Linked DNA regions of Anolis sagrei. The protein of the gene in region 1 purifies or fractionates together with the protein of each later gene. This does not show direct contact. Links are inferred from orthologs where the notes say so. Each region holds a gene or a part of one and is shown on either strand. Other genes may lie near its edges.

Region 1 (8,363 bases):
TTGTTGTTGTTGTTATTATTATTATTATTATTATTATTATTATTGAGGAATCCTTTGTTAGGAGGCACTAACTGGCCCCGATTCATTCTTGTCTTACTCAAAAAGCAGGGGAATACCAGAGGAGAATCAATCTCCCACCCTGGACATTCCACAGATACATAAACCTCACTTGCCTAGTTTCCAACAGACCTAACAACCTCTGAGGGTGCCTGCCATAGTTGTGGGCAAAGCAGCAGAAGAGAATGCTTCTAGAACATGGCCAGAAAACTCACAGCAACCCATTACAAATATGATTTGAAAATATTTATTGAACAATTTCAAAAAGCAAACCTTGATTTTTCTGTTGAAATTGTCTACATGCTTGTAGATTTCAGTGGTTTCTCTCTATAGTCTGAGGACGCCTGAATACGAGGGACGCCATTGCATATAAACATGAAATTTTGGTATACTCAAGAGCCCCGTAATTAAACCCCAGTGAATATCAAGGGCACATTATATCCTATTCAATTCTCTTACCAGACTGTATGTAGTAAGACTAGAAATTGGATTAAAGGGTGCATCTATAAGAGCCATGAGCCAACTTGGGCCCTCCAGGTGTTTTGGACTCCAACTCTCAGAATTCCTAATAGCCTCAGGCCCCTTCCTTTTCACCCTCTGCCGCTTAAGTGGAAAAATATTGGACACTCAATTAATTTAGAGGATTGGGAGAAAACATGGAACAAGAAAATGAAATATACTTATGCATCTAATTTAAAAGAAAACTGGCTAAAAATCACACCTCAGAAACTGGCAAAATGCTACCCAGAAATCAACGATAAATGCTGGAAGTGCGAAGAACAAACTGCCTCTTTTTATCATATGTGGTGGACATGTAAAACTTCCAAAACACATTGGAAAAATATCCACGAAAAAATAGAAAAGATACTGGATATAAAAATGGAATTAAAACCGGAATATTTTCTTCTGGGAATAATTGACTTCGAAATAGAGCTAAATAAAGATTAAATTTTTCAACTACCTGGTGACGGCGACCAGAATAAATTATGCAAGAGTATGGAGAATGAAAGAGATTCCATCTCAAGAGCAATGGTTAATAAATATTTTTAGATATTATGAGTATGGATAAATTAACCCAATGGATGAGCATAAAGCAGAATTTGAAAATTTCCAAAACAGACTGGATACCAATAAAGAACTATATAATGCAAGAAAACCTGAAATGGTAAATAGATCATATAAGATAATTTCAAGCATCAAATGCTCTCAGGATGAACCATAAGAAGGAGCTTGCCAAACTACCGTGATTGACTATCAAAAAAAGGAAAGAAAAGGAAGATACACCCGACGTGAAGAGGATTGGAAGTCAGACTGTATATTAACCCTAACCCCCCTAATCCCTTCCCTATCCTTCCATCCTTCCCACCCCCCCCCCCAAAAAACAGTCCCCTATCTAAATTTATTTATTTTTATTTCATATACTTCTACCCCGCCCTTCTCAACCCCCGAGGGGGGACTCAGGGCGGCTTACAAAATGGCACAATTTGATGCCCTCACAATAATACAATAAACGTATAAAAACAGCAGTTAAACGGTTAAACAATTAAAACAACAATATATATCACAGTCAATAGCCAATCTCATGCATGGCGTTCGCCAACTCAGAGTCCATACTTCGTTCCACATTGTCTATTCCTATCCGTCGTCGCAGTCCTTTATTTATCTGCCAGATTGCCCAAACGCCTGGTCCCACATCCATGTTTTTAATTTCTTTCTAAGAGCCGCTGCAAACTAGCCTCCTGTGGGAGCAAACTGTGCCAGCACGTCCCTGACGTCATGAGACTGTGCCTCTCTCTCCGCCCCTTTCTCCGCCTCTTTCTCCGTGCCAGAGTGGTTTTTCCTTTGCTAGGGCAGCATTGCCAGCATACTCTCGTTGTTGAATTCTGCCAACGAGAGTACGCTGGCAATGCTGCCCTAGCAAAGGAAAAACCACTCTGGCACGGAGAAAGAGGCGGAGAAAGGGGCGGGGCGAGAGGCGGAGTCTCATGACGTCAGGGACGTGCTGGCACGGTTTGCTCCCGCAGGAGGCTAGTTTGCGACGGGTCTAAAGGAAAGGAGGGATGTCGCTGATCTAATTTCCCCGGGAAGTGAATTCCATAGGTGAGGGGCCACCACTGAGAAGGCCCTGCTCCTCGTCCCCACCAATCTCACTTGTGACAGAGGCGGGGCCGAGAGCAGGGCCTCCCCAGAGGATCTCAAACTCCGAGGTGGGAGGTAGAGGGAGATGCGTTCGGACAGATACGCTGGGCCAGAACCGTATAGGGTTTTGTAGGTCAAAACCAGCACTTTGAATTGTGCTCGGAACTGGATCGGCAGCCAGTGGAGCTGACACAACAGGGGGGTGGTATGCTCCCTGTATGACGCTCCGGTGAGCAATCTGGCTGCCTCCCGCTGGACTAATTGAAGTTAATTGAAGTTAAATCTCTTCTTACCTTTTTCTATTCTCCTACTTTTCTATACCAAACAATTGTTCCCCCTGTTATTATTATATCTGAAAAACTTCAATAATATATATATATAGGAATTGTGAGAGTTGGAGTCCAAAACACCTGGAGGGCCCAAGTTGGCCCATGCCTGTTATAGATGCACCCTTCGGTTACAAACTAAGCAAGTACAAACCTAGGCCTGCCTTAAGCTTGAGGCACAGTCAATGCCCAAATCCTATTTTACGCTTTTGAGGAGGGGAAAAAGGTTTGTCGCCCGTGAGACGGAGACAAAACAACTATGAGCCGTCCTTGGGGAGACCTCGCATGCATCCGAAGGGCAAGGCGCGAGGCATTCAAATGAATGAGGGGGGAGAGGCCCGCCAACGGAACCATGGCGACCGCTTCCAGGCCCTCCTCCTCTCCTTCCTTCTCCCTCACGACCGCTCCCTTTTCGTTCCCCTTCCTCGCCCCGAGCAGGAGGCGCCCTGGGCCTCGCCTCGTCTCACCTCTCTCTCCCTCCTCACTGACAGGCCGCGACCGTTACCGCCCGTCAATCACGCTCCCCCCTCCGCACGCAGTCCTCTCGGCAGCGCATCCCCCGGCGCGCATGCGTCGCTGGTCCAAGCGCAGGTGCTTCGGCACGCGCCGCGCCGTCGCAACCAATCGCGATAGGGCGCTGAGAGGCTGAGCGAACCAATCGCAGGGAAGAGATTTTTTTTTCTTCTTCTTCTTAATTCCCTTCGGCTCACTTAACCCAACCCCGGATCGGTCCGCCGCTCGGTGACAAGGCGGCACGTGCCGGCTCGTCCAATCGGATCCGCCGTGGGGCGTGGCTTCATGAGCATCTCGCCTAATAAGAGCTCTGACTCAAGAGAGCGCGCCCAGTGGAGAGTCGACCAGGCACGAGGAGACTTCGGGCGTCTAATTGTTTTGGACTTGAAACTCCCACAATTCTTAATTGATTCAAATCCTTGATGATATTTATTTATACCCCCCACTTTTTCTCTCCACAAGGAGACTCAAAGCAGCTATTTGTTTTTGTGTCTACATTGAAGGAAGAAGTCCCACTTTCTTCTGCTTCCCTCAGGCCTCACCCAGGAATCCTGTGTTCAATTCTGGGCCCCACAATATCATGGCAATTTTTTTTTCGTGTTAGGAGTGAAAAATACATAAACAAATAACCATCCCACCAAAAACACACAGGAGTGACGAGAAACTGCAAATTCCTTCTGGTGTGAGAGAATTGACTGTCTGCAAGGATGTTGCCCAGAGGACGCCCGGATGTTTTGATGCATTCCAGAGCCAGGGGGCCACCACCAAAAAGGCCCTCTCCTCCATTCCCACCAGCTGCACTTGTGAGGGTGGTGGGACTGTGAAGAGAGCCTCCCCGGAGGACCTTAAGGTCTGATAGGTTAATAGGGGAAAACATAAATTCAATACTGGATTACATGACAGTGTAGATCTAGCCTAAGAGTCACCAAGCTTCACTGTGCAGTAGTGAACCTGAGTGTTTCTAGTTTGTTTGTGTGTGTGTGTGTGTGTCAGGAGCAAGGATGATGCCCAGGGGACACCCAGATGTTTTGATGTATTACCATCCTTGTGGGAGGCTTCTCTCATGTCCCTGCATGGGGAGCTGCAGCTGACAGAAAGAGCTCATCCGCGTTCTCCCTGGATTTGAACCTGTCGGTCCATTTCACAGCACAATTCAAAGTGCTGGTCCTGGCCTCTAAAGCTATATACGTCTCCGGCCCAGCTTACTTGTCCGAATGTATCTCTCCCTACATTCCACCTCGTAGTTTAAGATCCACTGGGGAGGCCCTGCTCTCGGTCCCATCAGCCTCACAAACACATCTGGTGGGGACGAGGGACAGGGCCTTCTCGGTGGTGACCCCCCACCTGTGGAATTCACTCCCCAGTGAGATTAGATCAGCGTCCTCCCTCCTTTCCTTTAGGAAAAAACTGAAATCGTGGTTTGGGAACCAGGCTTTTGACTAGCAGGCACAATGGCACTTTGGACATTGAACTGGACCATATGATTGTTATGCTAATGGAAACAGCTATATGACTGTATCATTCATGTTATTGTTTTTAATTTGTTATGTATTTATGGTTTTATATTGTTATTGTGATATTGCGGCATCAAATTGTTGTCACTGTGAGCCAATTTGACAATTTGAACTGAAAGGAGGAAACTATGAAAAGGAATAATATCTGTATATAAAAAACTCAGTAAAGAAAGAACAGCACTCAAAAGTGGGGAGTTCCAGACAAGAAACAATCAGGGACAGCTAATCACCTCTCAACAAAGGATTGTGCCGGGCAGGAAGTGGCCAAGCCTTGAAACTGCAAGACTATACCATGCTAATCAAGGTGACCTATGGCAGCATTTACACTTGCATTCACACACTCCACAGATATATAAACCTTACTTGTCTAGTTTCCAACAGACCTTACAACCTCTGAGGATGCCTACCATAGATGTGGGTGAAATGCCAGGAGATAATGCTTCTGGAACATAGCCATGCAGCCCGGAAAACTCAGAGCAAACCAATATTAACAATGTTTAATACTTTAAAATATTTGTATATTGTATATTTTAAGTTGTATTGTAATCTTTCAATTGTGAGCCACTTTGAGTCTTCGTATGGAGAGAGAAGGTGGGATATAAATAAGCATCGTAATAATACTGTTTGAATATTCATAGTTAAAAATATATAAAAATATCAACTGTTTGCAATGCTGTTTGCTTTAATTCTTGTTATTGGCCATCAAGTTGACTTTGACTTATGGCAACTTTGTGAATGAAAGACCTCCAATATCTCTGGTTGTCTATTGCCTTGCTTGATGTAGTTGTATCTTGCAGGTTTCATCCCAAATAGGGAATATGTGTGTGTGTGTGTGCGGGCGTGCCACACGAACCCAACAGAATGGAATTTTCCCTAATGCACCATGATGCTCCAAGAAACACTCTTTTTTTTTCAAAATAGTTTATCTTTCCATTCAAAGGGCTAACAGTCCCAACCCCATCCATATGGCACTCCAGTGTAACCATGGAGCAAGTTGCTATGGAACATCACCTGCTTGTTGCTGTGTACAGAGAAAAGTTCCCTATGCAGTTTCTTGGTGGCAGGAGCCTTGCTCTCCACATCAATATCCCTTAAGAGTTACTTCAGTCTAAGTTTTCAGGGCATCTTCCCACCCTCCTCAATGCCTTAAATTAATGACAGTTTAAGTTGCTGTACTAAATTATACATTAGGTGACAGATCTTATTAACCCCATTGTTCATTCTTTTTGAGCTCCTTCCTCAGAAACACATTCTTTCACTACCTATCTCATCCAGGATTTTTATCAATTTTATCCTAGTACATTTGGCCCGCCCACTGTGTTCAGTTTCTCTATCATGTAATTTTGAAACTGTTTATTTTGTTTTTTAATGTATTTATTTTGATGGTATTTTTGCTTCTTTGTATTTTATTTTGCTGTACTGTAATTTTGGGCTTGGCCTCATGTTAGCTGCCCCGAGTCCCCTTTGGGGAGATGGTGGCAGGGTACAAATAAATAAATATTATTATTATTATTATTATTATTATTATTATCTGTTGGCAATATTTTAGTTTTGGGTTCCCTCATTATAATTTTTTAAAGTCAGCTTTCAGACATCCTGTTGTGAATTTCATCCTGACCAAAAGTAAGAGGAAAGGATGATAGAATGTTAAATCCTACAGTGAAATGTGTGTTACTTTTCACATCTCTCTGCAACACAACTTGGAATGTAACTGAGAAAGTAGCATGCACATATTAGGCTAACAGTGGGCAACTTCTAACAGATGTGGGGATGGGGGGGGGGTGTTTTGTTCATACAGCACTAGGCAACCCATAACCAGAATAAAACAAAGATATAAGCCTGATCATTCAACAGTTAACTTACAGATCAGATGAGAGTGCTGCTCACTCATTCTGGGGAGGAGGCAAAAGAGTCCCTTGAATAAGCTTGGGTGGGAGTGCAGCTGAAAGCTCTAGAGGGGTTTTGTCAACTCAGTTCAAACCATGTTCAGTAGGGCATGGCTGCAAGAGCTATCAGGCTTCCCATCCCATCCCAAACTTGGCACACAGAACTTCCATGACCAACAGAAAATACTGTGTTTTCTGATGGTCTTTGGTGACCCCTCTGACAACCCTTTGCAACCCCTCCTTAGGAATCCTGACTCCCAGGTTGAGAAACGCTGCCCTAAACCGAGCTGAATATTTTTTTGGCTGTTTAATACTGCAATCCAGTGTATGTTTACTAAGAATAAGCTGCGTTTGACATATTGGAACTTGATTCTGTTGTAAATATGCTTAGGTTTTCATTGTTATGCTGCAGTCCTTTTGTATGTATGTATTATAAGCCCGAATGAACATAATTGCACTTGGTTATGAATAACAATTGTTCTCCAAATATCACTTCTCTCACTAGGAAGTCATGATCTTAGCCCCAACCAGAGTAAGGCCCATTGAATCAATGAGGGCGTGATAATAGTTCTAAAATAGATAGGACTATTTGATTTATAGTTTTGTAATGCAGTGACCAGAATGGTAGATTTTAAAAAATGAAACCTGGGCCCAGATCCACATTATCACCATGCCCATTACCACGTGGAGATACACGAGCACTTCAGGTAGCAACAGTGGCAGTCCCTGGTCATATGTTGCTACATATTTTCTGTCATCTTTTCAAAGGGCCCTCTACACAGCCATATAACCCAGAATATCAAGGCAGACAATCCACAATATCTGCTTTGGACTGGAATATCTGAGTCCACACTGCCATGTAATCCAGTTCAAAGCAGATAATGTGGGATTTTATTCAGTTGTGTGGAAGGGGGCTGTAGTCAGTTTCCCAATTTGAGGAGATACTTTCTCAGCTGTCAGTCCAGATGGCTTTGGTATTTGTCATGATAGCGGGAGCATTAACTTGTTTTTTGCATCAGAGAATGACCTACTCTTTTTCCACTGGAGAAGAACGAAGCCACCTGTATTTTCCCTTTACTTGGCTAAACATTGGTTTAAGAATAACATTTCAATTTGCTAGAACAATACCAGGTGAAATGATTAAATACTCCTCAGCTCAGCACTGCTGTTCCAATTCATTTTGAAGCATACTCCTCCACAAAAAGGAAATTAGGGGTCCATGTAACATCCCATATAGATTACTGCAACACACTCTACATGGGGCTGCCTTTGAAGACTATTCAGAAGCTTTAACTGGTCCAACAGGCAGCAGCCAGGTTGCTCACCGGAGCGATGGACATTGAGCACACAACTCCCCTGCTGCACCAGCTCCACTGGTTAACAGTCTGCTTCCGAGCACAATTCAAAGTGCTCACTTTAGCCTTCAAAGGCCTATACGGTTCTAGCCCAGCTTACCTGTCCAAATATATCCTCCCCTATGAACCACCTGAGAAATTAAGATAATCTGGGGAGACCCTGCTCTTGGTCCTGCTTTCTTCGCAAGCACACTGATGGGGATGAGAGACAGGACCTTCTCAGTGGTGGCCCCTCAGCTGTGGAACTCTCTCCCTAGTGACATCACATCAGCCCCCTCCCCCCTCACCTTCAGAAGGCAAGTAAAAACCTGGCTCTGGGACCAGGCTTTCGGATAATAGTGTAGTGCATAGGCATGGGCAATCCATGGTTCTAAAGTACTTACAAAACTAAAGTTCTGGTGGTGAACACTAGGGGGCGCTACTGCTTTGCTTCTACAGTGTTGCTAAAGTTCTGGTGGTGAAAATTTCAGAATTCTAAAAAAACCTTCAAAAATTTGTTATAAATGGCAGTTCTGTCATAAAATTGGCAATAATGAAATAATAATGAAATGTTGAAAATTTTGTTAGAGTTCT
Region 2 (7,634 bases), on another chromosome or scaffold:
CACCTAATGAAACAAAACACCTCTCAAAATATCTTATCCCTGGCTTAACGGAACCTAAAACCCCAATCTCTTATTTTAGGTTTGGAAAAGGTGCTTCTCCTACTTTGGCCCTCCAGGTGTTTTGGACTTCAACTCCCACCATTGTCTTGACCAGGAATGGTAGAAGTTGAAGTCCAATACACACGGAGGGAAGGCCGAAGTTTCCCTACGCCTGATGTAAGCTTAGGTCAGAGTTGAAGTCCAAAACACCTGGAGGGAGGGCTTACATTTCCCCATGCCTGAGCCTTGAAGATGCCCCATCCAGACCTGAAGCTGAAGTCCACTCTTCCCAGCACCTAATGAAACAAAACACCTCTCAAAATATCTTATCCCTGGCTTAACGGAACTTGAAACCCCAATTTCTCTCTTATTTTAGGTTTGGAAAAGGTGCTTCTCCTACTTTGGCCCTCCAGGTGTTTTGGACTTCAACTCCCACCATTGTCTTGACCAGGAATGGTAGAAGTTGAAGTCCAATACACACGGAGGGAAGGCCGAAGTTTCCCTACGCCTGATGTAAGCTTAGGTCAGAGTTGAAGTCCAAAACACCTGGAGGGAGGGCCTACATTTCCCCATGTCTGAGCCTTGAAGATGCCCCATCCAGACCTGAAGCTGAAGTCCACTCTTCCCAGCACCTAATGAAACAAAACACCTCTCAAAATATCTTATCCCTGGCTTAACGGAACTTGAAACCCCAAACTCTCTCTTATTTTAGGTTTGGAAAAGGTGCTTCTCCTACTTTGGCCCTCCAGGTGTTTTGGACTTCAACTCCCACCATTGTCTTGGCCAGGAATGGTGGAAGTTGAAGTCCAATACACCCGGAGGGAGGGCCGAAGTTTCCCCATGCCTGAGCCTTGCAGATGCCCCATCCAAAGCTCAAGTCCACTCTTCCCAGCACCTAATGAAATAAAACACCTGTCAAAATACCTTATCCTTGGCTTAACCCAACTTGAAACCCTGATATCTATCTTATTTTAGGTTAGGAAAAGGTGCTTCTCCTACTTCAGCTCTCCAAGTGTGTTGGACTTCAACTCCCACCACTGTCTTGACCAGGAATGGTGGGAGTTGAAGTCCAAAACACCCGGAGGGAGGGCTGAAGTTTCCCCATGCCTGAGCCTTGAAGATGCCCCATCCAGAGCTAAAACTCACTCTTCCCAGCACCTAATGAAACAAAACACCCATCAAAATACCTTATCCCTGCCTTAACCCAATCTGAAACCCTTGATCTCTCTTATTTTAAATTTGAAAAGGTGCTTCCCCTGGTGTGTTGGACTTCAACTCCCACCATTGTCTTGTCCAGGAATGGTGTGAGTTGAAGTCCAATACACCCGGAGGGAGGGCTGAAGTTTCCCCACAATTTCTAACAGCCTACTGGAGGGGAGAAGTTTCCCCAAGCTTGGCGCAACCTCAGGCCTGAGCCTTGAAGATGCCCCATCCAGACCTGAAGCTGAAGTCCATTCATCCCAGCACCTAAAGAAACAAAACACCTTTCAAAATACCTTATCGCTCGCCTAACCCAACCTGAAACCCTTGATCTCTCTCATTTTAAGTTAGGAAAAGGTGCTTCTCCTACTTTGGCCCTCTGGGTGTTTTGGACTTCCAACTCCCACCATTGTCTTGTCCAGGAATGGTGGGAGTTGAAGACCAAAACACCCGGAGAGAGGGCTGAAATTTCCCCACACCTGGCATAAACTCAGAGCAGAGCCTTGAAGATGCCCCATCCAGACCTGAAGCTGAAGTCCACTCTTCCCAGCACCTAATGAAACAAAACACCTGTCAAAATACCTGGCTTGACTCAACCTGAAACCCTTGATCTCTCTTATTTTAGGTTAGGAAAAGGTGCTTCTCCTACTTTGAGTGTTTTGGACTTCAACTCCTACCATTGTCTTGACCAGGAACGGTGGAAGTCGAAGTCCAAAATACCTGGAGGAAGAGCCAAAGTTTCCCCATGCCTGAGCCTTGAAGATGCCCCATCCAGACCTGAAGCCCACTCTTCCCAGCACCTAATGAAAGAAAACACCTGTCCAAATACCTTATCCTTGGCCTAACCCAACCTGAAGCCCTTGATCTCTCTTATGTGAGGTCTGGAGATCCTTCCCAGCTTCTCCTTGCTGACCACACTGGCTGTGTGCTAGGGAAAGATGAGGAGATAACAGTAACCAAGACAATGGGTTGCCAGGAGAGGGCATTGGGGATGGCAGGGCACAGCATGGCCCAACTCCCCCCATTCCTAACAGCCTCAGGCCCCTTTCTTTTCCCCCTCAGCCGCTTCAGACCGCTTCTTTTTCCCCCTGGCTGAGGGGAAAAAAGAAGCGGCCTGAAGCGGCTGAGGGGGAAAAGGAAGGGGCCTGAGGCTGTTAGGAATGGGGGGAGTTGGGCCCAAGTTGGCCCATGCTTGGCCTGAGGGCAGCTCTCCGTCCTCCCTCACCTATTTTCTCCATGCCGACCCCATTGGAGCCGCTGAAGCTGTCCACGAGGGTGTTGGTCTCCTCCCTGGAGAGTCCCATCCCGGCGGCGGCTCCTCTCTCTCCGGCCTTCCCCCGGTGGTGTCGCCCGGCGGAGCCTCTCCCTCGGTGCGAGTGCCCGTGCCCGTCGTCCCCTCCGCCCCCTCCGTGCTGGTGGAAGAGGCAGAGGCCGAGGAGGTTGACGAGGAGTCCTGCGGCGCCGACGCCGATGACGACGAGGGGCTGCTGGATCTCGTGGGGCTCGGTGAAGCGCTCGACGGCCTCGAGGAGGATGGTGAAGCAGAGGGCGGTGAGGAAGACGGCGTTGACGAGGGCGCCCATGACCTCGGCGCGCACCCAGCCGAAGGTGTTCTTGGAGGTGGCGCGGGTGAGCTGGGCGAAGCGCACCGCCACCAGCGCCACCACCAGCGCCATCACGTCGGAGAGCATGTGGAAGGAGTCCGAGAGCATGGCCAGCGAGGAGGTCAGCCGGCTCACGGCCACTTCCACCAGGAAGAAGACGAAGGTCAGCGCCAGCATGCACAGCAGCCGGGCCCGGCGGCATCTCCTCCGGCGGCGGGGAGCGGGAAGGGCTCCGTGGCGCCGGGCAGGGTCCAGGCCCGTTCCCTCAGGGCCCATGGCTGCTGCTTGCTTCCTTCTTCCCCTTCTTCCTTCTCCGCTCTCTTCCCCCGCCGCGTCTCCCTCTCCTTCTTTTTCTTCTCCTCCTTTGCAGACGGTTTGAAACTAAACTTTGCACCCGAACCCCCTCCTCCTCCTCTCCCTCGCACACTCTTTTCCACACGGAACCCCAGAACGCGCCCCGCCCACTTCGAGGCGCGCCATTGGCGGCCGCCACGGCGACCGGCCACGCCCCCGAGGCGCCATTGGCCGCGTCGGGGAAGGACCCCCGCCAGCCAATCCGGCACGCCTCGCAGGCCGCGTTCCCATTGGCTCCCCGGCTCGCTGGGAGGCGTGGCTACGGGGAGAGAAAGGGCGGGGGGAACTGTCACCGCGTGTGGGCGTCCAATCCGAGCCCTTCCTCTTCTAAGCCACGCCTCCGAGTGGGTTTTTTTTTTTTTAAAAGGAAAGGGGGAACTGTAGACTCATAGAGGGAGGGGGAGCTGTCATCGCGTAGGGGCGACCAATCCGAGTCCAGCTTCCCCTTAGCCACGCCTCCGATTGGATTTTTTGTTTCAGGAAGGGAAAGGGGAGCTGAAGAATTACAGAGGGAGGGGGAGCTGTCACCGTGTATGGGCGACCAATCCGAGCCGGGCCTCTTCTAAGCCACGCCTCCGACTGGATTTTTTTGTTTTAGGAGGGGAGGGGGAAGCTGTCACCGTGTATGGGCGACCAATCCGAGCCCGGCCTCTTCTAAGCCACGCCTCCGACTGGAATTTTTTGCTTCAGGAAGGGAGGGGGGAACTGTCACCGTGTATGAACGTCCAATCCGAGCCCAGCCTCTTCTTAGCCACGCCTCCGCCTTTTTTAATTTTTAGGAAGGGAGGGTGGAGCTGTAGAATCCTAGAGGGCGGGGGGAGGTGTCACCACGTATCGGCGTCCAATCCGAGCCCGGCCTCTTCTTAGCCACGCCTCCAACTGGGTTTTTTTTTGTTTTAGGAAGGGAGGGGGAGCTCTTTTTTTTGTCGTGTCAGGAGAAACTGCAAGTCGCTTCTGGTGTGAGAGAATTGGCCGTCTGCAAGGACGTTGCCCAGGGGACGCCCGGATGATTTGATGTTTTATCATCCTTGTGGGAGGCTTCTCTCACGTCCCCGCATGAGGAGATGGAGTTGATAGAGGGAGCTCATCCACCTCTCCCCGGATTCGAACCTGCGACCTGTCGGTCTTCAGTCCTGCCGGCACATGGCTTTAACCCACTGCACCTCCAGGGGCTCCAAGGGGAGCTGAAGTGTTGGAAGAGACCTCGTGGGCCATCCAGTCCAGAAGCTGGAAAATCGCATTCAAAACGCCCCTGACAGATGGGTGTCGGGAGGTGCTGTCACGATGTAAAATTGTCCAATCAGAGTCCGCTCTCGTCTCAGCCCCGCCTCCTTTCGGGTTTGTGTGGATTTGAAGGAGGCGGGGCTCTAAGAGAGAGGCGCGAGGACCCGGCCTCGCTTTTCCACACGGCCCTCCCCTCGCGGCCTTTGGGGGCGTGGCTAATGAGCTGTCACGACTTCACGGCACCCAATCAGATCGAAGGATTGAAGGCGCCGGGAGGGAGGGAGGCTTGGCTCCTTCAATCCCGCCCCCGTTTTTCCACACGGCCCTCCCCTCGCAGCTTTCGAGGGCGTGGCCAATGAGCTGTCACGACTTTATGGCGTCCAATCAGAGTCCGCGCCTTTCTCGGCCCCGCCTCTGAGGGAACTGGCGCAAAAGGTGGTTGTGTGGAAAGAAGGAGAGGAGACCCTGCTCGTTTTTCCACACGGCCCTCCTCAGCGCGCCTCCTTTCCGCCCGGCACCCGCTTCCCTTTCGCCGCCACAGCAGCTGCCGCGCCCAAAACAGCGGAAGTAAGGCGCGTGTAGACACCTCCAGGCCTCGCCCAAGCAGAGCAGCCAAAGGTACTTCCGGGCCCGCGCTGGGACTTCCCTCACTTGAGGCAAAAAAGCACAGAAGCACTCCCTGTCGCGGTGGCTAATGTTATTTTCATTTATATCCTCATCAAAAGTTTCTCAAGGCATGTTAACCAACATCTATATAAATAAAAATGTAATGTTAGTTTGTGGGATTAACAGAACTCAAAAAACACTGGATGAATTGACACCAAATTTGGACACAATACACGTATCAGGCCAACGAGTGACCACCACTCATAAAAACATGGAAAAACACAACAGAAAAGACTTAAAAAGCCAAAGAACAAAAATGCATTACAATGCATGTGCAAAACCACACACACACACACATATATACACATATACACAACTATATACATACACAAAACACACATACACAAAAAACACACAGTCATATATATGCAAACACATATAGACAAATATATACACACATACACAATCAAATCCAACCAGTCCATCCTCCAGGAAATAAAGCCCAGCTGTTCATTGGAGGGAAGGATATTAGAGACAAAGTTGAAGTACTTTGGCCACATCATGAGGAGACAGGAAAGTCTAGAGAAGACAATTATGCTGGGGAAAGTGGAAGGCAAAAGGAAGAGGGGCCGACCAAGGGCAAGATGGATGGATGGCATCCTTGAAGTGACCGGACTGACCTTGAAGGAGCTGGGGGTGGTGACGGCCGACAGTGAGCTCTGGCGTGGGCTGGTCCATGAGGTCACGAAGAGTCGGAGACGACTGAACGAATGAACAACAACAACACACAAACAAAACACATTTATTTATTTATTTGCTATACTTGTATACCGCCGTTTCTCAGCCTAGCCGGCGACTCAACGCGGTTTACAACAACTTATAACAAACAACAGTATACAGTTTAAAAGCATAAAAACACAATCCACAATACCTATATCAATAAACATATACACAGACTGGGGCACAGCTACATGTGGCAGGGGGCAGCTAGTACATATATAAAATATTAATATATTACATATTTTGCATATTTTACAACCAATACTACTGTTACTGGGTTGCTGTGAGTTTTCTGGGCTGAATGTCCATGTTCCAGAAGCATTCTCTCCTGACGTTTCACTCACATCTATGGCAGGCATCCTCATCTATTCCACCTTTATCCAATTACAGGTTTCTCTAGGCAGGTAATAAAAATAGAATAAAATTGCAGTCATTTGTGGATTCTGTATCCACAGATTTATTTATTTATTTATTTATTTACTTTACTTTACTTGTATACCGCAGTTTCTCAGCCCAACAGATGACTCAACGTGGTTTACAACAAGGATAAGAATCAATCAACGATATACAATTTAAAACCATAAAAGCATAATATACAATATTGACACAACAATAGACAACACAATGCATCTCATAACTAGAGTCGTGATCCAATCCGTCGTCCAAATTTCCATTCCTGTAATCATCACATTCATTGCACTGTTTAACCAAATGCCCGTTCAAACATCCAAGTTTTTAATCTTCTTCGGAACACCATTAGCGAGAGAGCTGATCTTACCTCCATAGGAAGGGCGTTCCACAGCCGGGGGGCCACCACAGAAAAGGCCCTGTCTCTCGTCCCCGCCAGCTGCACCTGTGAAGCAGGCGGGATAGAGAGCAGGGCCTCCCCAGAAGATCTTAGGGGCCTGGCGGGCTGATAGGCAGAGATACGTTTGGATAGGTAGCTTGGGCCAGAACCGTTTAGGGCTTTATAGGCCAACGCTAGCACTTTGAATTGAGCCCGGTAGCAAATCGGCAGCCAGTGGAGCTGGTGCAGCAGAGGAGTTGTATGCTCCCTGCGCTCCGCTCCAGTTAGTATCATGGCTGCCGAGCGTTGGACTAGCTGGAGCTTCCGAGCCGTCTTCAAAGGCAACCCCACGTAGAGAGCGTTGCAGTAGTCTAGACGGGATGTAACTAGAGCGTGGACTACCGTGGCCAAGTCAGACTTCCCAAGGTACGGGTGCAGTTGGCGCACGAGTTTTAACTGTGCGAATGCTCCCCTGGTCACCGCCGAAACCTGAGGTTCCAGGCTCAGCGATGAGTCCAGGATCACACCCAAACTGCGAACCTGCGTCTTCAGGGGGAGTGCGACCCCATCCAACACAGGCTGTAACCCTATACCCTGTTCAGCCTTACGACTAAGCCATCCATGGCTTGAAACCTCCCCCCTCAAAAAAATGATCCTTACTAGTAGTAGTAGTAGTAGTAGTATTTTAACCTGCCTTTCTTCCAATCATAGCTCTCCCAAGGCAACTATTGACATATTAAGAGTATACAATACAAAAATCAGAATAAAAGTACAACCAGACCTCTATGGATTCTGTATCCATAGATTCAACTTTCCGAGACTTGGTACAGTCCCTTGGTACAGAAGGTTGAAGACCTTGTAAAAGTCCCAACGATTCCATAGGTCTGAGCCATAGCAGTTAAAGTAGTGTCAAACAGTATTCATTCTACGGTTTAGATGCAGCCAAGCCCTAGACAGCATAGCCCTTGGTGAGAGATAACAGGAACTGCAGTCCCACAACATCTGAAAGTTACAAATTCTTCACTCCATGTTTAAATGTG
Region 3 (7,409 bases), on another chromosome or scaffold:
CTTCCTTCCTTCCTTCCTTTTTGTCATTCTTTCCTTCTATCTTTCCTTTATCCTTCCCTTCCTTCCTTCCATTCTCCTCTTCACCCCTTCCTTCTCTTTTTCCTTTCTCTCTTCCTGCTTTCCTTCCTTCCCTTTCACTGTTTCATCCTTCCTTCCCTCTTTCCTCCCTCCTTCCCTCTCTCCCTCTTTCTCCTTCCATCCTTCCCTTCCTCCCTTTCATCCTTCCTTCTTTTCCACCCTTTCGTCCTTCCCTCCCTTTTGTCTTTCTTCCATCCTTCTCTCTTTCTTTCCTCCTTACTTCCCTTCCCTCTCTCTTTCTCCTTCCATCCTTCTCTCTTTCCTTCCTCTTTCCTTCCATCACCAGGCAGCCAGTCCTCCTAGCAGGGAGTGCTAGAATGTGGAAGCCCAAGTTTGAAAGTTTGCCCATGTCTTGTGCAGATATACCCTTAGATACATGCAGTCATGCCGGCCACATGACCTTGGAGGTGTCTACAGACAACGCCTTGCTCTTCGGCTTAGAAATGGAGATGAGCACCACACCCCAGAGTTGGACATGACTGGACTTAATGTCAGGGGAAAACCTTTACCTTTACCGGAATCATAGTCCAATTCTCAAACCACTAGACAATACTAATGTGTGCTCTCTCTCTCTCTCTCTATATATATATATACACTCTGTGTGTGCGTGTGTGTGTATATATATATATATATATATATAGTCTCAAACAAACACGAAACTGTAGACATGAGTCATTTCTACACAGGGTTCAACAAGGTTCCCATACTTTGGAGCCCATTTGTTATCTCATGGGGCACTTGGATAGGTTCAAGATGAAAGAATTCACCAAAAATATGACCAAACGGGTTACACTATTGCTTTTAAAGCACCCAAAATGTCAGTCAGTAAGGATGTCTTTTTTAAAATAGCAAAATGCACAGAAATCAGGAAGCTAAAAGAAAAAGAAGGATTTGCTTTAGCAAATTTAAACAGCAAGCACATAAAAGGAGGCACATGTACAAGACACTGGCAAGCAAGATGATGATGTAAGAGTGAGAATGAGCACCAAAATTGGTGTATCTATGAAAGGGTTTTTTTTTAAATTCATTTGACTTATATCCTACTTTCCACCCAAATGGGGCACAAAGTTACCAAATTTTCCTTCAGTCTCCTTTCTGTCTTCCTCATTTCACATATAACCTACAATTTCCTCCCAAATGGGATTCAAAGTGTCAAATTTTCCTTCGAACTAGAATCTAGCATTACAGTAGCATAAAATTTGAGCATCCAAAGAAAAGAGACAAACAAAATAACCAAGGGTATGAAAACACAGGAGTATTCAAAAAAAAATCTCTAAAATATTCCAAAATTGTAGTTAAGACAATGACAGAAACTGATATTTCTCAAATACAGTTTCTTTCACAACATTAAAAATGCTGGGTATTAAACCATGAAGAGGCCACCAGTTTGTAACGGTTTGTAAAGGAGCCACCACTTTGTAAGGACTTACTAAATTGATAACACAACTAATGGCTTGTAATACTAAATTGGTCTTTCTTCAATGTGTAGCGTGGCTTAACTTGGACGTATTTGTAACAGAGACTTGACTTTAGAAGAAACTATAACAAGTTTATTGAAGTATAGAAGAAGCTTGATAGTTTCAATGTTTCTTAGCTCTTAGAAGCACATTTCTTCACAGGTTACAATTAATACATTTCATAAAACAACTCTTAAGAGAACTCTTCCTTTCACTAAACAGGTTTTAAACTTATTCTCCTTCAAAATGTGTTTCTTTCTTTAATAGATTACTTCAGGTACAAGCTTATCCTTTCCTTATGTTGTTTCTGTTGCAGTATAGATTCTTATTAGGGTTCTCTTACAGTCAGGAATTTCTTCCTCGTGTTTAGATGGAATCTCCTCTCCTGTAGTTTGAAGCCATTGTTTCGCGTCCTAGTCTCCAAGGAAGCAGAAAACAAGCTTGCTCCCTCCTCCCTGTGGCTTCCTCTCACATATTTATACATAGCTATCATATCTCAGCCTTCTCTTCTTCAGGATAAACATGCCCAGCTCCTTAAGCCACTCCTCATAGGGCTTGTTCTCCAGACCCTTGATCATTTTAGTCGCTCTCCTCTGGACACATTCCAGCTTGTCAATATCTCTCTTGAATTGCGGTGCCCAGAATTGGACACAATATTCCAGGTGCGGTCTAATTATTTATTTATTTATTTACTTACTTTGCTTGTATACCGCAGTTTCTCAGCCCGTAGGCGACTCAACGCGGTTCACAACAAGAGCAAAAGCCATCCAACAACATACAATATTAAAACCATTAACAGTATAAAATACAAACTAATGACATCTCAATAACAACACATTAACGTCTCGTAACTAAAATTAATGTATTTTTATTGATATCTAGTTTTATTTTGAAATTGACTGGTAGCTGCTGCATTTCCAACCCTCGGCTTATATTCGAGTCAATACATTTTCCCGAATATAAGCCTCGTCTTATATTCGGGTCAGCTTATACTCGAGTATATACGGTATGTTAATCTCATAAGCAAACATTACATTTGTACTTATATAGATTATTGAAAATAATAATAATTTGCTATCCCCTTCATGACTCGAGGCGGGGTACAACACTGTCAAAAAATACATATAAAACCCAATTATCACTGAGGAGGCATGCACTCTGCACATTCTCAGGAGTTATAATGCATAGATTAAAATACATAGGATACAACACAAAATAAAAAAATACTAGGTAAAGTTAGAATTATTAGTTTTAAAATGAACTGGGGGGTGGAAATGGTCCCCAGAAGCCAAAACAAAACCATAAAGAGATGAACCATGGAGAGGACAGGGAAAAGCAAAGGTAGAGAGAGGGGAACAGTACAGGTGTATCATGCAGAAAGGGGGGAAGGGGGCGCAGTGCGCATGCGCGGGGCTCTCCGTTCGCTCCCTTCTTTGCCCCCGCCCACCCCTGAAGGCAAGCCCCTGGGAGAGAAAAGTCCGTTAAGGCTGGAGCCGTTAAGGGTTTACCTGAGCCGCGCGCGCAGCTTGGCTTTCCCTCTGCCCAGGCGTTCTAAATAGGAGCGCCTCGCGCGCGCACGCTTTGCTTGCTTGCTTGCTTGCTTCCCTCGCGCCTCCGTGTGCGCACGCGCGGGCCAGCCGCTGCTCTCGGGTTGCTTGCTGCGGCTCAGAACTCTCTCTTTTTTTTTCTTCTTTCCCCTGGCTTTCGCTTGTCCTCATCTTCTCCCTCTTGCGCATGCGCACAAGCAAGGAGCCGCTACTGTTGCTTGGATGCTTCTCCCTTCATTTTCCCTTTGAAAACAAAGGGGAGGGGGGCGGCCAAAAGAGGGTCCACGGACGCGCTAGGGATGCTGGGAATTGTAGTTCTTACTCTCTGAGGGGGCAATTGAGGATACTGTATTAATCCTGGCCAAGGAAATGCTGTAAATGAAGAGTGGTGTTGCCATAAACAGACTTATTTATTTATTTATTTATTTTATTTGGTACGCTTGTATACCGCCAATATCTCAGCCTATGCGGCGACTCATTGCGGTTTACAACATGTTAAAATATACAATTCACTTTAAGCATATAGATTAAAATTAAGAATACATACAAAACATACATAGTATTGGGCCACCAATACAGATCGGATCTCATCGTTAAAATCGTAGTCCAATTCGTTATCCTTGATTGCTAGTCCATGGTCAAACAACATCACATCAAAAATCAATTGAAGACTTGCACAAACATCCAAGTTTTTAGTTTTTTCCGAAATGCCATTAGCGAGGTGGCTGATCTTAGTTCAGTAGGGAGGGCATTCCAAAGCCGGGGGGCCACCACAGAAAAGGCCCTATCTCTCGTTCCCACAAGCCGCACCTGTGAAGCAGGTGGGATAGAGAGAAGGGCTTCTCCTGAAGATCTTAGGGTCCTGGTGGGCTGATAGGCCGAGATACGTTCGGATAGGTATGTAGGGCCAGAACCGTTTAGGGCTTTAAAGGTCAAAACCAGCACTTTGAATTGGGCTCGGTAGCTGATCGGCAGCCAGTGGAGCTGGTACAGCAGAGGAGTTGTATGCTCCCTGCGCCCAGCCCCTGTTAATACCATGGCTGCCGCCCGTTGGACTAATTGGAGCTTCCGGGCCGTCTTCAAAGGCAACCCCACGTAGAGAGCGTTGCAGTAATCAAGACGGGATGTAACCAGAGCGTGGACTACCGTGGCCAAGTCAGACTTCCCAAGGTACGGTCGCAGTTGGCGCACGAGTCTTAACTGTGCGAATGCTCCCCTGGTCACCGCCGAAACCTGGGGCTCCAGGCTCAGCGATGAGTCCAGGATCACACCCAAACTGCGAACCTGTGTCTTCAGGGGGAGTGCGACCCCGTCTAACACAGGCTGTAACCCTATACCCTGTTCGGCCTTGCGACTGACCAGGAGCACCTCTGTCTTGTCTGGATTCAATTTCAATTTGTTCGCCCCCATCCAGACCGTCACAGCGGCCAAGCACCGGTTCAGGACTTCGACAGCCTCCTTAGTAGCAGGTGGAAAGGAGTGACAGAGTTGGACATCATCTGCGTACAGATGACACCGCACCCCGAAACTCCGGATGATCTCGCCCAGCGGCTTCATGTAGATGTTAAACAACATGGGGGACAGGATTGAACCCTGAGGAACCCCACAAGACAAAGGTTGTGGGGTAGAGCAGGAGTCCCCTGTTAATGAGAAAACACAAACAGTTATTCAAAGCACCTACAAAAAATAGATGGCCTTTATCTAACCTATAGGCTTGGGCAATCCATGGTTCTAAAGTACTTACAAAACTAAAGTTCTGGTGGTGAAAATTTCAGAACTCTAACAAAACTCTCAAAATTTCATAATAAATGGCAGTTCCTAATTGGTTCTGTCATTAAAATCACCAATAATGAAATAATAATTAAATTTTGAAAGTTTTGTTAGAGTTCTGAAATTTTTCACCACCAGAACTTTAGTTTTGTAAGTACTTTAGAACCATTTAGAACCATGGATTGCCCAAGCCTACAACCTATAAAAGTAAATAAAAATGTTTGGGTTGTTGTAGGTTTTGCTACATGTTCTAGAGGCATTTTCTCCTGACGTTCCGCCTGCATCTGTGGCAAGCATCCTCAGAGGTAGTGAGTTCTGTTGGAAGTAGGAAAATGGGTTTATATATCTGTGGAAAGACCAGGGTGGGACAAAGGACTCTTGTCTGCTGGAGCTAGGTGTGAATGTTTCAACTGACCACCTTGATTAGCATTTAATGGATTGGAAGTGCCTGGGGGAATCTTTCTTTGAGAGGTGATTTGATATATATATCTGTGGAATGACCAGGGTGGGACAAAGGACTCTTGTCTGCTGGAGCTAGGTGTGAATGTTTCAACTGACCACCTTGATTAGCATTTAATGGCTTGGAAGTGCCTGGGGGAATCTTTCTTTGAGAGGTGATTTGATATATATATCTGTGGAATGACCAGGGTGGGACAAAGGACTCTTGTCTGCTGGAGCTAGGTGTGAATGTTTCAACTGACCACCTTGATTAGCATTTAATGGATTGGAAGTGCCTGGGGGAATCTTTCTTTGAGAGGTGATTTGATATATATATCTGTGGAATGACCAGGGTGGGACAAAGGACTCTTGTCTGCTGGAGCTAGGTGTGAATGTTTCAACTGACCACCTTGATTAGCATTTAATGGATTGGAAGTGCCTGGGGGAATCTTTCTTTGAGAGGTGATTTGATATATATATCTGTGGAATGACCAGGGTGGGACAAAGGACTCTTGTCTGCTGGAGCTAGGTGTGAATGTTTCAACTGACCACCTTGATTAGCATTTAATGGATTGGAAGTGCCTGGGGGAATCTTTCTTTGAGAGGTGATTTGATATATATATCTGTGGAATGACCAGGGTGGGACAAAGGACTCTTGTCTGCTGGAGCTAGGTGTGAATGTTTCAACTGACCACCTTGATTAGCATTTAATGGCTTGGAAGTGCCTGGGGGAATCTTTCTTTGAGAGGTGATTTGATATATATATATCTGTGGAATGACCAGGGTGGGACAAAGGACTCTTGTCTGCTGGAGCTAGGTGTGAATGTTTCAACTGACCACCTTGATTAGCATTTAATGGCTTGGAAGTGCCTGGGGGAATCTTTCTTTGAGAGGTGATTTGATATATATATCTGTGGAATGACCAGGGTGGGACAAAGAACTCTTGTCTGCTGGAGCTAGGTGTGACTGTTTCAACTGACCACCAAGAGTCCTTTGTCCCACCCTGGTCATTCCACAGATATATATATATATATATATATATATATATATATATATATATATATATCTGTGGAATGACCAGGGTGGGACAAAGGACTCTTGTCTGCTGGAGCTAGGTGTGAATGTTTCAACTGACCACCTTGATTTGAGATGCCTGATGGTTTCCTCTCTGTTGTTTTGCTGTTGTGATTTTTGAGTTTTTTAATACTGGTAGCCAGATTTTGTTCCTTTTCATGGTTTCTTCCTTTCTGTTGAAATTGTCCACAATCTTGTGGGTTTCAATGGCTTCTCTGCGTAGCCTGACATAGAAATCCACAAGCATGTGGGTAATTTCAACAGAAAGGAAGAAACCATGAAAAGGAACAAAATCTGGCTACCCGTATTAAAAAAGGGAGGACTCCTGGGAGTTGGAGTCCAATAATAGGTAGAGAAGGAAGAAAAGGGAGAAAGAGGAAGGGAAAGAAAAGGGAAGGAAGGGAAGAGGAAGAGAAGGAAGGGAGGAGAAAATGAAAGAAAATAAGGGAAGAAAGGAAGGAAGAAGAGAAAGAAAGGAGGAGAGAAAGAGCGAGGGAAGGTTGGCCACAGCAACACATAGCAGGTATAGCTAGTACAGATATAAAAACTGTTTCAATTGTCAAAATATACACAAGGTTGTTGTAGGTTTTTCGGGCTGTATGGCCATGTTCTAGAAGCATTCTCTCCTGACGTTTCATCTGCATCTATTCCAGGCATCCTCCGAGGTTGTGAAGTCACAGAGGACATCAGTTATGCCACATTCCTCCCTACTCTAAGTGATCTGTCCCAACATCCCCATATTTTGAACCAAATTTGGTTAAAATACAAACAAATACAGGTGACATGCAGTCTTCTAGCCTACTCAGAAATGAGTAGAAATGAAAGAAACTAGGGCCAGAAATGAAAGAAACTAGGTGTGCCTCCTACATCCCATGGGCAATAATAATAATAATAATAATAATAATAATAATAATAATAATAATACGTTATTTATACCCTGCTACCATCTCCCAAGGGACTCGGTGCGGCTTACATGAGGCTGAGCCCACAACACATCAATAACAAAGCAATAACAACAAATAATACAAAGCAATAAAATAAAACT
Region 4 (8,378 bases), on another chromosome or scaffold:
CTTGTCCCCGCCAGCCGTGCTTGAGAAGCAGGCGGGATCGAGAGCAGGGTCTCCCCGGACGATCTCAAAGTCCTGGTGGGTTCATAGGCAGAGATGCGGTCGGATTGGTAGCTTGGGCTGGAACCGTTTAGGGCTTTAAAGGCCAACACCAGCACTTTGAATTCAGCCCAGTAGCAGATCGGTAGCCAGTGGAGTTGGCGCAACAGGGGGGTTGTATGCTCCCTGCGCTCCACTCCTGTTAAAATCATGGCTGCCGAGCGCTGGACTAGTTGGAGCTTCCGAGCCGTCTTCAAAGGCAACCCCACGTAGAGAGCGTTGCAGTAGTCTAAACGGGATGTAACCAGAGCGTGGACTACTGTGGCCAAGTCAGACTTCCCAAGGTACGGGCGCAGCTATATCCTACCTTGCTCATGCCCAGCATTATTTTTTAAATTTGAATTTTACATTTGGCCCAGCCATAGGTTTTAAATGCTTGTTGTGTTGCTGTACTGCTTATATTTTATTTTACTTTTGTTTATGAGATGTATTTTAACTGTTTTGTACTGTTTGTTTGCTATTGTTTTATTATTGATGTGTTGTGGGCTCGGCCTCATGTAAGCCGCACCGAGTCCCTTGGGGAGATGGTAGCGGGCTATAAATAATAATAATAATAATAATTATTATTATTATTATTATTATTATTATTATTATCTATTTCTGAACACCACTATACCAAATATGCTGTGGGTACCAGATAATGGCTGGTAAAGGCATCCTTATTCTGTTCTATTCTATTCCTTCCTTCCTTCCTCTTCTCCGTTTTGTAGCATTGCTCCCTGAAGATGAAAGGAGTAAACCATCAAGACACTGCTGAGCAAAGATGTCCCCAAAGGTGATTAATAAATGGCACACAACGGTTTGGAATCCTATAGCAACCTTATGCTTCAATGTAAACAAGCTTTGTTTACAAAATCATCAAAGATATTACCCATCACATTAACCTTATCATGGGGTTTTCTGAACTTCAAGATAGAGGGGGCCATTCCGATCTCCAGTGAAAGGGAGTTCCAGAGTTGAGGGGCCACCACCGAGAAGGCCCTGTCCCTCGTCCCCACCAGACGCGATTGTGAGGCCGGTGGGCCCCTCCAGACGTCTTAGCAATTTTGATGGTTCATAGGGGAGAATACGTTCGGACAGGTAAACTGGGCCAGATTCGTTTAGGGCTTTATAGGTTAACACCAGCACTTTGAATAGTGCTCGGAAGCTAACTGGCAGCCAGTGGAGCTGGCGCAACAGAGGAGTAGTATGCTCCCTGTACCCCACTCTTGTTAGCAAACTGGCTGCCACACATTGGACTAATTGGAGCTTCCAGGCAGTCTTCAAAGGCAACCCCACGTAGAGAGCGTAGCAGTAATCTAAACGGGATGTAACCAAAGCTCACCCTTATCCAGAGAACACTGAACCCAGCTGATAACAGATCTGGACAAAGTATTATTATTAGTAGTAGTAGTAGTAATAGTAGTAGTAGTATAAGACTCCCAACCCTTTGTTGGTGCCCAGAGCTTTTGGAGAAGGCCTCTGCAAGGTGATGGGAGGATAGTTCACCCTTATGCAGAGAACACTCAACCGAGCTGATAACAGATCTGGACCAAGTAGTATTAGTAGTTCACCCTTATCCAGAGAACACTCAACCCAGCTGATGACAGATCTTATTATTAGTAGTATTAGTATTAGACTCCCAACCTGTTGTTGGTGCCCAGAGCTTTTGGAGAAGGCCTCTGCAAGGTGATGGGAGGGTAGTTCACCCTTATCCAGAGAACACTGAACCCAGCTGATAACAAATCTGGACCAAGTATTATTATTATTATTAGTAGTAGTAGTAGTAGTATAAGACTCCCAACCCCTAGGGAGGACTCAGACTGGGGGGGGGGGGTTGGGGGGACTGATTCAACAGGAAGGAAGTTGTAGTAATCTGGGAGTTGTAGTTCACCCTTGTCCAGAGAACACTCAACCAAGCTGATAACAGATCTGGACCAAGTATTATTATTAGTAGTATTAGTATTAGTATTAGACTCCCAAACCCTTGTTGGTGCCCAAAGCTTTTGGAGAAGGCCTCTGCAAGGTGATGGGAGTTGTAGTTCACCCTTGTCCAGAGAACACTGAACCCAGCTGATAACAGATCTGGACCAAGTAGTATTCGTATTAGTATAAGACTCCCAACCCCTTGTTGATGCCCAGAGCTTTTGGAGAAGGCGATGGGAGGGTAGTTCACCCTTATCCAGAGAACACTGAATCCAGCTGATAAGAGATCTGGACCAAGTATTCTTAGTATTAGTATTAGTATAAGACTCCCAACCCCTTGTGGGTGCCCAGAGCTTTTGGAGAAGGCCTCTGCAAGGTGATGGGAGGGTAGTTCACCCTTATCCAGAGAACACTCAACCCAGCTGATGACAGATCTTATTATTAGTGGTATTAGTATTAGTATTAGACTCCCAACCTGTTGTTGGTGCCCAGAGCTTTTGGAGAAGGCCTCTGCAAGGTGATGGGAGACTAGCTTACCAGTATCCAGAGAACACTGAACCCAGCTGATAATAGATCTGCACCAAGTATTAGTAGTAGTAGTAGTAGTAGTAGTATAAGACTCCCAACCCCTTGTTGGTGCCCAGAGCTTTTGGAGAAGGCCTCTGCAAGGTGATAGGAGTTGTAGTTCACCCTTATCCAGAGAACACTGAATCGAGCTGATGACAGATCTGGACCAAGTATTATTAGTATTAGTATTAGACTCCCAACCCCTTGTTGAGGTTTTGGAGAAGGCCTCTGCAAGGTGGTGGGAGGGTCCTTCTGGGTCTGGAGGGGTCCCTCCCCGACTGGAGCCTTCCCCACAGAGATACAGATACCCCCACGCCCCTTTGGACCCACCGTAGATCATGGCGAGGCCCGTCTCGTGGAGGAAGCGTGCGCGTCGGTGCTTGAAGAGCCAGATGGTGAGGATGGTGAGGGTGAGGAGGAGGATGAAGATGAGCAGGTTGGCGCTGTCCTGCCGGTGGCTGGCCTCGGCCGCCTTCTCCGACACGATCTCCTCCTCCAGGGCCACCGGCGGGCCCGAGCCGGACCCCCCGCAGACCCCCAAGAGCAGCAGCAGCTCCAGCAGGGGCAGCCCCGTCGCCAAAGGGGGAGCCCTCCGGGGGGCGGCAGGACCCTGGCCCCAAAGCAAGGCCATGGCTAGGGCTCGGGCTCTGGATACAGCGATGGCTGCTGCGCCTCCTCCTCCTCCTGGCTCCTCCTCTTCCTCCACTTCCTCCTCCTCCTCGAGGCTGGGGAGAAGGGAAGCAAGCTCTCCCAGGGTTGGAAGGGACCCCCAAAGGCCATCCAGCCCAACCCCCTTCTGCCAAGCACCATCCAAGCCCACCCAACAGATGGCCATCCAGCCTCACAGGCGTTAGATGAGATGGAGAGAAATAATAAGGCCACAGGATGCTAGAGTTAAAGGGGACCCCCAAAGGCCATCCAGCCCAACCCCCTTCTGCCAAGCACCATCCAAGCCCTCCCAACAGATGGCCATCCAGCCTCACAGGCATTAGATGAGATGGAGAGAAATAATAAGGCCACAGGATGCTAGAGTTAAAGGGGACCCCCAAAGGCCATCCAGCCCAACCCCCTTCTGCCTCTATGCAGGGAAAGCACCATCAAAGCACCCCTGACAGGTGGCCATCCAGCCTCACAGGCATTAGATTAGATGGAGAGAAGTAATAAGGCCACAGGATCCTAGAGTTAAAGGGGACCCCAAAGGCCATCCAGTCCAACCCCCTTCTGCCTCCATGCAGGGAAAGCACCATCAAAGCACCCCTGACAGGTGGCCATCCAGCCTCGCAGGCATTAGATGAGATGGAGAGAAATAATAAGGCCACAGGATGCTAGAGTTAAAGGGGACCCCCAAAGGCCACCCAGCCCAACCCCCTTCTGCCAAGCACCATCCAAGCCCACCCAACAGATGGCCATCCAGCCTCACAGGCATTAGATTAGATGGAGAGAAATAATAAGGCCACAGGATCCTAGGGTTAAAGGGGACTCCCAAAGGCCATCCAGCCCAACCCCCTTCTGCCTCCATGTAGGGAAAGCACCATCAAAGCATCCCCGACAGGTGGCCAGCCAGCATCACAAATATAAGATTAGATGGGGAATGATGACAGGTCTAGAGAATCCTAGACGGAGAGAAATAATAGTCCTATGGGATCCTAGACTTAAAATGGACCACAAAGGCCATCCAGTTCAAACCCCCCCCCCCCCCCCGCATCCATGCAGGGAAAACTCCGTCATAGCACCCCGACAAATGACCACCCAGCATCATAGACATTAGATTAGATGGAGAGAAGTAACAGGGCTAGAGAATCCGAGATGGAGAGAAATAATAGGGCTATAGGATGCTAGAGTTGAAAGAGTACCCCAAGTACCATCCCTTCTGCCTTCATGAAGGAAAAACACAATCGACGCACCCCTGACAGATGGCCATCCAGCCTCATAGACATTTAATTAGATGGAGAGAAATAATAGGGCTATAGGATCCTAGAGATGGGAGGGACCCTCAAAGGCCACCCAGTCTAGCCCCATTCTGACTTCATGCAGGAAAAGCACCAGTTTGGGGACTTACATTCCAAAACAAGAACAGCTTGATCAAAATGCTTGGCACCAGAAGTGTTTGGGATTCCTCTGGATGTTTAAATGTTTTACAATACTTGCATATACGGAACAAGCACCCCATTTTCGAAATGCTTGGCACCCAAAGTGTTTGGGATTGTGTTGGGTGTTTACATGTTTTGAAACCTTTTACATAGGTACACCGAATAGCACTTGTCCAGAATGTTTGGGAACAGATGCATTTTGGATTCCGGGTTGTTTATTGTTATTGTTATTAAGGCTTTGAAGGGTAGATGTTTACTAAAACACACACAGAGAGAAGAAGCAGTGCTGTTGGCCTGGAGACATATTCCAAAGTTCATGTTACGATCTTGGTTTTATGAGGCTGGATTTTGTAGAGTTTTCCTGAAACAGACTAAACAGTGCAATTTACCCAGCAGCTAAGGATTTGCATGAGCCTATTTTGACCCTTAAGACTGCAGCTTGAAACCTTTGAATTAAACCCTATTCATTGCAAAGGCCTTTGCAGTCTCCAGACCCAAAATACATCGAATATCAATTGAGTTTATTTCCCGAAATGGGGCTCTTTAAGGGATTTTCTGCTTCTGGTAAAAGCTGTCAGGACTATTGGACTATTTGGAAGTCACTTGCTCTCTCTGCTACTGGGTCGTTGAGAGTTTTCCGGGCTATCTGGCCATGTTCCAGAAGCATTCTCTCCTGACATACATTTCTCCCACATCTATGGCAGGCATCCTCAGAGATTGAGAGATCTGTTGGAAATTAGGCAAGTGGGATGTGTGTGTGTGTGTGTGTATGAATATCCAGGGTGGGAGAAAGAACTCTTGTCTGTTGGAGGCAGGTGTGAATGTTGCATACCTTGATTAGCATTGAATTGCCACCTTGATTGAATGGCCTTGCAGCATCAAAGCCTGACTGATTGCTGCTTGGGGGAACCCTTTGTTAGAAGGTGTTAGCTGGCCCTGATTGTTTCCTGTCTGGAATTCCCTGCTTTTTTAATGTTGCTCTTTATTTACTGTCCTGGTTCCCCCAGGCAGGAAGCCACTAGGCTTTGAAGCTGCAAGGCTATACAATGCTAACCGAGTTGGCAAATTGCAACATTTGCACTGGCCTCAAACAGACAAGAGTTCTTTCTCCCAACATGGACATTCCCCAGGTATATAAACCTCACTTGCCTAGTTTCCAACTGACCTCATATCCTCTGAGGATGCCTGCCATAGATGTGGGTGAAATGTCAGGAGACCTGATAGCTATGTATAAGTATGTGAGAGGAAGTCATAGGGATGGGGGAGCAAGCTTGTTTTCTGCTTCCGTGGAGACTAGGATGCGGAACAATGGCTTCAAACTGCAATAAAAGAGATTCCATCTGAACATTAGGAAGAACTTCCTAACTGTGAGAGCTGTTCAGCAGTGGAACTCTCTGCCCCAGAGTGTGGTAGAGGCTCCTACTTTTGAGACTTTTAAACAGAGGCTGGATGGCCATCTGTAGGGTGTGTTTTGAATACGATTTTCCTGCTTCTTGGCCGAATGGGGTTGAACTGGATGGCCCATGAGGTCTCTTCGCACTCTATGATTCTAATGATTCTGGAACATGGCCATACAGCCCGGAAAACTCACAGCAACCCAGTCATTGCAGCCGTGAAAGCCTTCAACAACATTCTGCCACTGTTGCTTTGAAAGTAAGGTTTGCTCTTAATTTGATTTATAGATGTTAATCTAAGTTTCAGTAACATTCCTTTGGTTTGCCATTGAACCCTCTGCACAGAAAGCAGTTCGAAACCCACTGCAAGAAATGGTAGGTAGCTTTGTTTAGAATGAGAGGAGTGTGACAAGGCATAGATTATGGCACAATGCAGGGCTTGTTTTTCCACCACAGAGTAATATTTTCCTCCTTCAGAAGAAAGGAAGAAATGCATGGGTTTTTGGGGTTTTTTTTTTTGTTTAGTTAGTTTGTTTTTTGCCAAGAGGACAAATGCCTTCAAAGCAATTATCTGGGTGCATCTGAACTGTGGAATTTATGCAGTTTGACACCACTTTAGCCATCAATGCTAAGAAAGCTGGAGAGCTGCAGTTTTACAAGATCTTTCACTTTGGTCCTTCACCAAACTACAGATCCCAGGTTTCCATAAAGGCAGTTAAAGAGGTGTCAAACGACATTCTTTCTACAGTGTAGAATTATTATTATTATTATTATTACTGACAGAAAAACATAGTATGGCACAGCAAATTAGATATATATGCTGGATTTCGTATCACTAAATCACAAGTCGAACACTTCCCAAGTGTCTAGGACTGTGTGATGTATTATTGTTGTTGTTGTCAGTTCTGTCTTCTTTCCATTGGTAAAAGGCACCCGACTTGATCAAGGCTACATTTTGCAATTTATCTCCATTGCAGCGCTTTAGTAAAATCGATCCAACACCCATTTTTCAGTATTTCCCCATTTTTATTATGAGTTTCAATTCTTATACTTGTTTTCAATTAACATGATGATCAATCATCCCCTGCCTTGGAAACACTGTCTACATTCCATGTTTATAATTGTGGGTAGCTTTGATGTCGAATCCGCCCCAAACCCCTGCTTTCCAGCTGATCTGACCAGCTGCAGGGAGTTCCGCAGTTCCTGGATGCCAGCTCTGATGAAATGTGCCCCAGCAGCAGCCTCAACCAAGGATTCTCTGCAACCTTGAGCTTTCTCCTTTTGCTTTTCTCCCCAGCCCAAACATTGTAACAAAACCCCTAATAAAGACTAATTGAATTGTAACGTTCACCTCTCCAAAGTGATACACTGTGTCTATTTCCTGACTCACAAGTATCAAATGCATGAACTTATCCTTTTTTGGGCCGTGGGCAGCGGCGGGCCCGCCTGGGATGCCTTCCAGGCATCGCAGGGAGGCTGAATCTGCGTTTCTTTAAACCGCGGATACGGAAACCACTCGGGCCACCATATCCGCGAGTTAACCGACCAACTCCATTTTGGTGCCATATTTTTCCTAGCTTAATTCTAACATTTTCTAACATTTTATATTTATACATTAATATTAATAATTAATTAATAATATTATTCTTAAATTTTAATTATTACATTTGGCTCTGCCATAGGTTTTTAACATCGTTGTGTTACTGCTATTGTTTATTGTTTTTTTTTTGTTATGAGTTTTTGTTTTATTGTCTGTATTAATTGTTGTTATTGCTTTTATCATTGATGCAGTGTGGTCTCAGCCTCATGTAAGCCGCACCAAGTCCCTCGGGAGATGGTTGCGGAGTATAAATAAAGTTTATTATTATTATTATTACTATTATTATTAGTATATTGTATTATTATATTCTATTATATTATAATATTATTAATATTATATGTTTCTATTATATATTATATTATTAGCATAGTACAATATTAGGATTATATATTATATTGTACAATACCATTAGAATGCAATATTATTAGTAATATTACAATATTATTAATAATATTAATAATATTATTAGTAATATTACAATATTAATAATATTAGTAATAATAATAATAATAATAATAATAATATTTTTTGTCGTGTCAGGAGCATCCTGTTGTGAGAGAATTGGCCGTCTGCAGGGACGTTGCCCAGGGGACGCCCGGATGATTTTGATGTTTTATCACCCTTGTTGGAGGCTTCTCTCATGTCCCCGCATGAGGAGCTGGAGCTGATAGAGGGAGCTCATCCGCCTCTCCCCGGATTCGAACCTGTGACCTGTTGGTCTTCAGT

What was found.
Region 2: the proteins of CLGN (region 1) and SLC30A1 purify together in Homo sapiens (co-immunoprecipitation; 3 studies listed by BioGRID and IntAct, with this or other methods). This does not show direct contact. The link is inferred for Anolis sagrei from reciprocal best matches to the Homo sapiens genes CLGN and SLC30A1.
Region 3: the proteins of CLGN (region 1) and SLC12A6 purify together in Homo sapiens (affinity purification with mass spectrometry; 3 studies listed by BioGRID and IntAct, with this or other methods). This does not show direct contact. The link is inferred for Anolis sagrei from reciprocal best matches to the Homo sapiens genes CLGN and SLC12A6.
Region 4: the proteins of CLGN (region 1) and SLC9A6 purify together in Homo sapiens (co-immunoprecipitation; 3 studies listed by BioGRID and IntAct, with this or other methods). This does not show direct contact. The link is inferred for Anolis sagrei from reciprocal best matches to the Homo sapiens genes CLGN and SLC9A6.

What each region holds. Positions count from the first base shown.
Region 1 is NC_090025.1:45,313,897-45,322,259, forward strand, and holds the start of CLGN (calmegin), read right to left. Parts: upstream 3,214-8,363; 5' UTR 2,990-3,213; intron 1-2,989. UniProt on the Homo sapiens protein: Functions during spermatogenesis as a chaperone for a range of client proteins that are important for sperm adhesion onto the egg zona pellucida and for subsequent penetration of the zona pellucida.
Region 2 is NC_090021.1:32,140,124-32,147,757, forward strand, and holds the start of SLC30A1 (proton-coupled zinc antiporter SLC30A1), read right to left. Parts: upstream 3,277-7,634; 5' UTR 3,120-3,276; coding exon 2,465-3,119; intron 1-2,464. UniProt on the Homo sapiens protein: Zinc ion:proton antiporter that could function at the plasma membrane mediating zinc efflux from cells against its electrochemical gradient protecting them from intracellular zinc accumulation and toxicity.
Region 3 is NC_090026.1:13,086,983-13,094,391, forward strand, and holds the start of SLC12A6 (solute carrier family 12 member 6), read right to left. Parts: upstream 3,320-7,409; 5' UTR 3,044-3,319; intron 1-3,043.
Region 4 is NC_090030.1:24,590,628-24,599,005, reverse strand, and holds the start of SLC9A6 (sodium/hydrogen exchanger 6), read right to left. Parts: upstream 3,262-8,378; 5' UTR 3,200-3,261; coding exon 2,899-3,199; intron 1-2,898. UniProt on the Homo sapiens protein: Endosomal Na(+), K(+)/H(+) antiporter. Mediates the electroneutral exchange of endosomal luminal H(+) for a cytosolic Na(+) or K(+).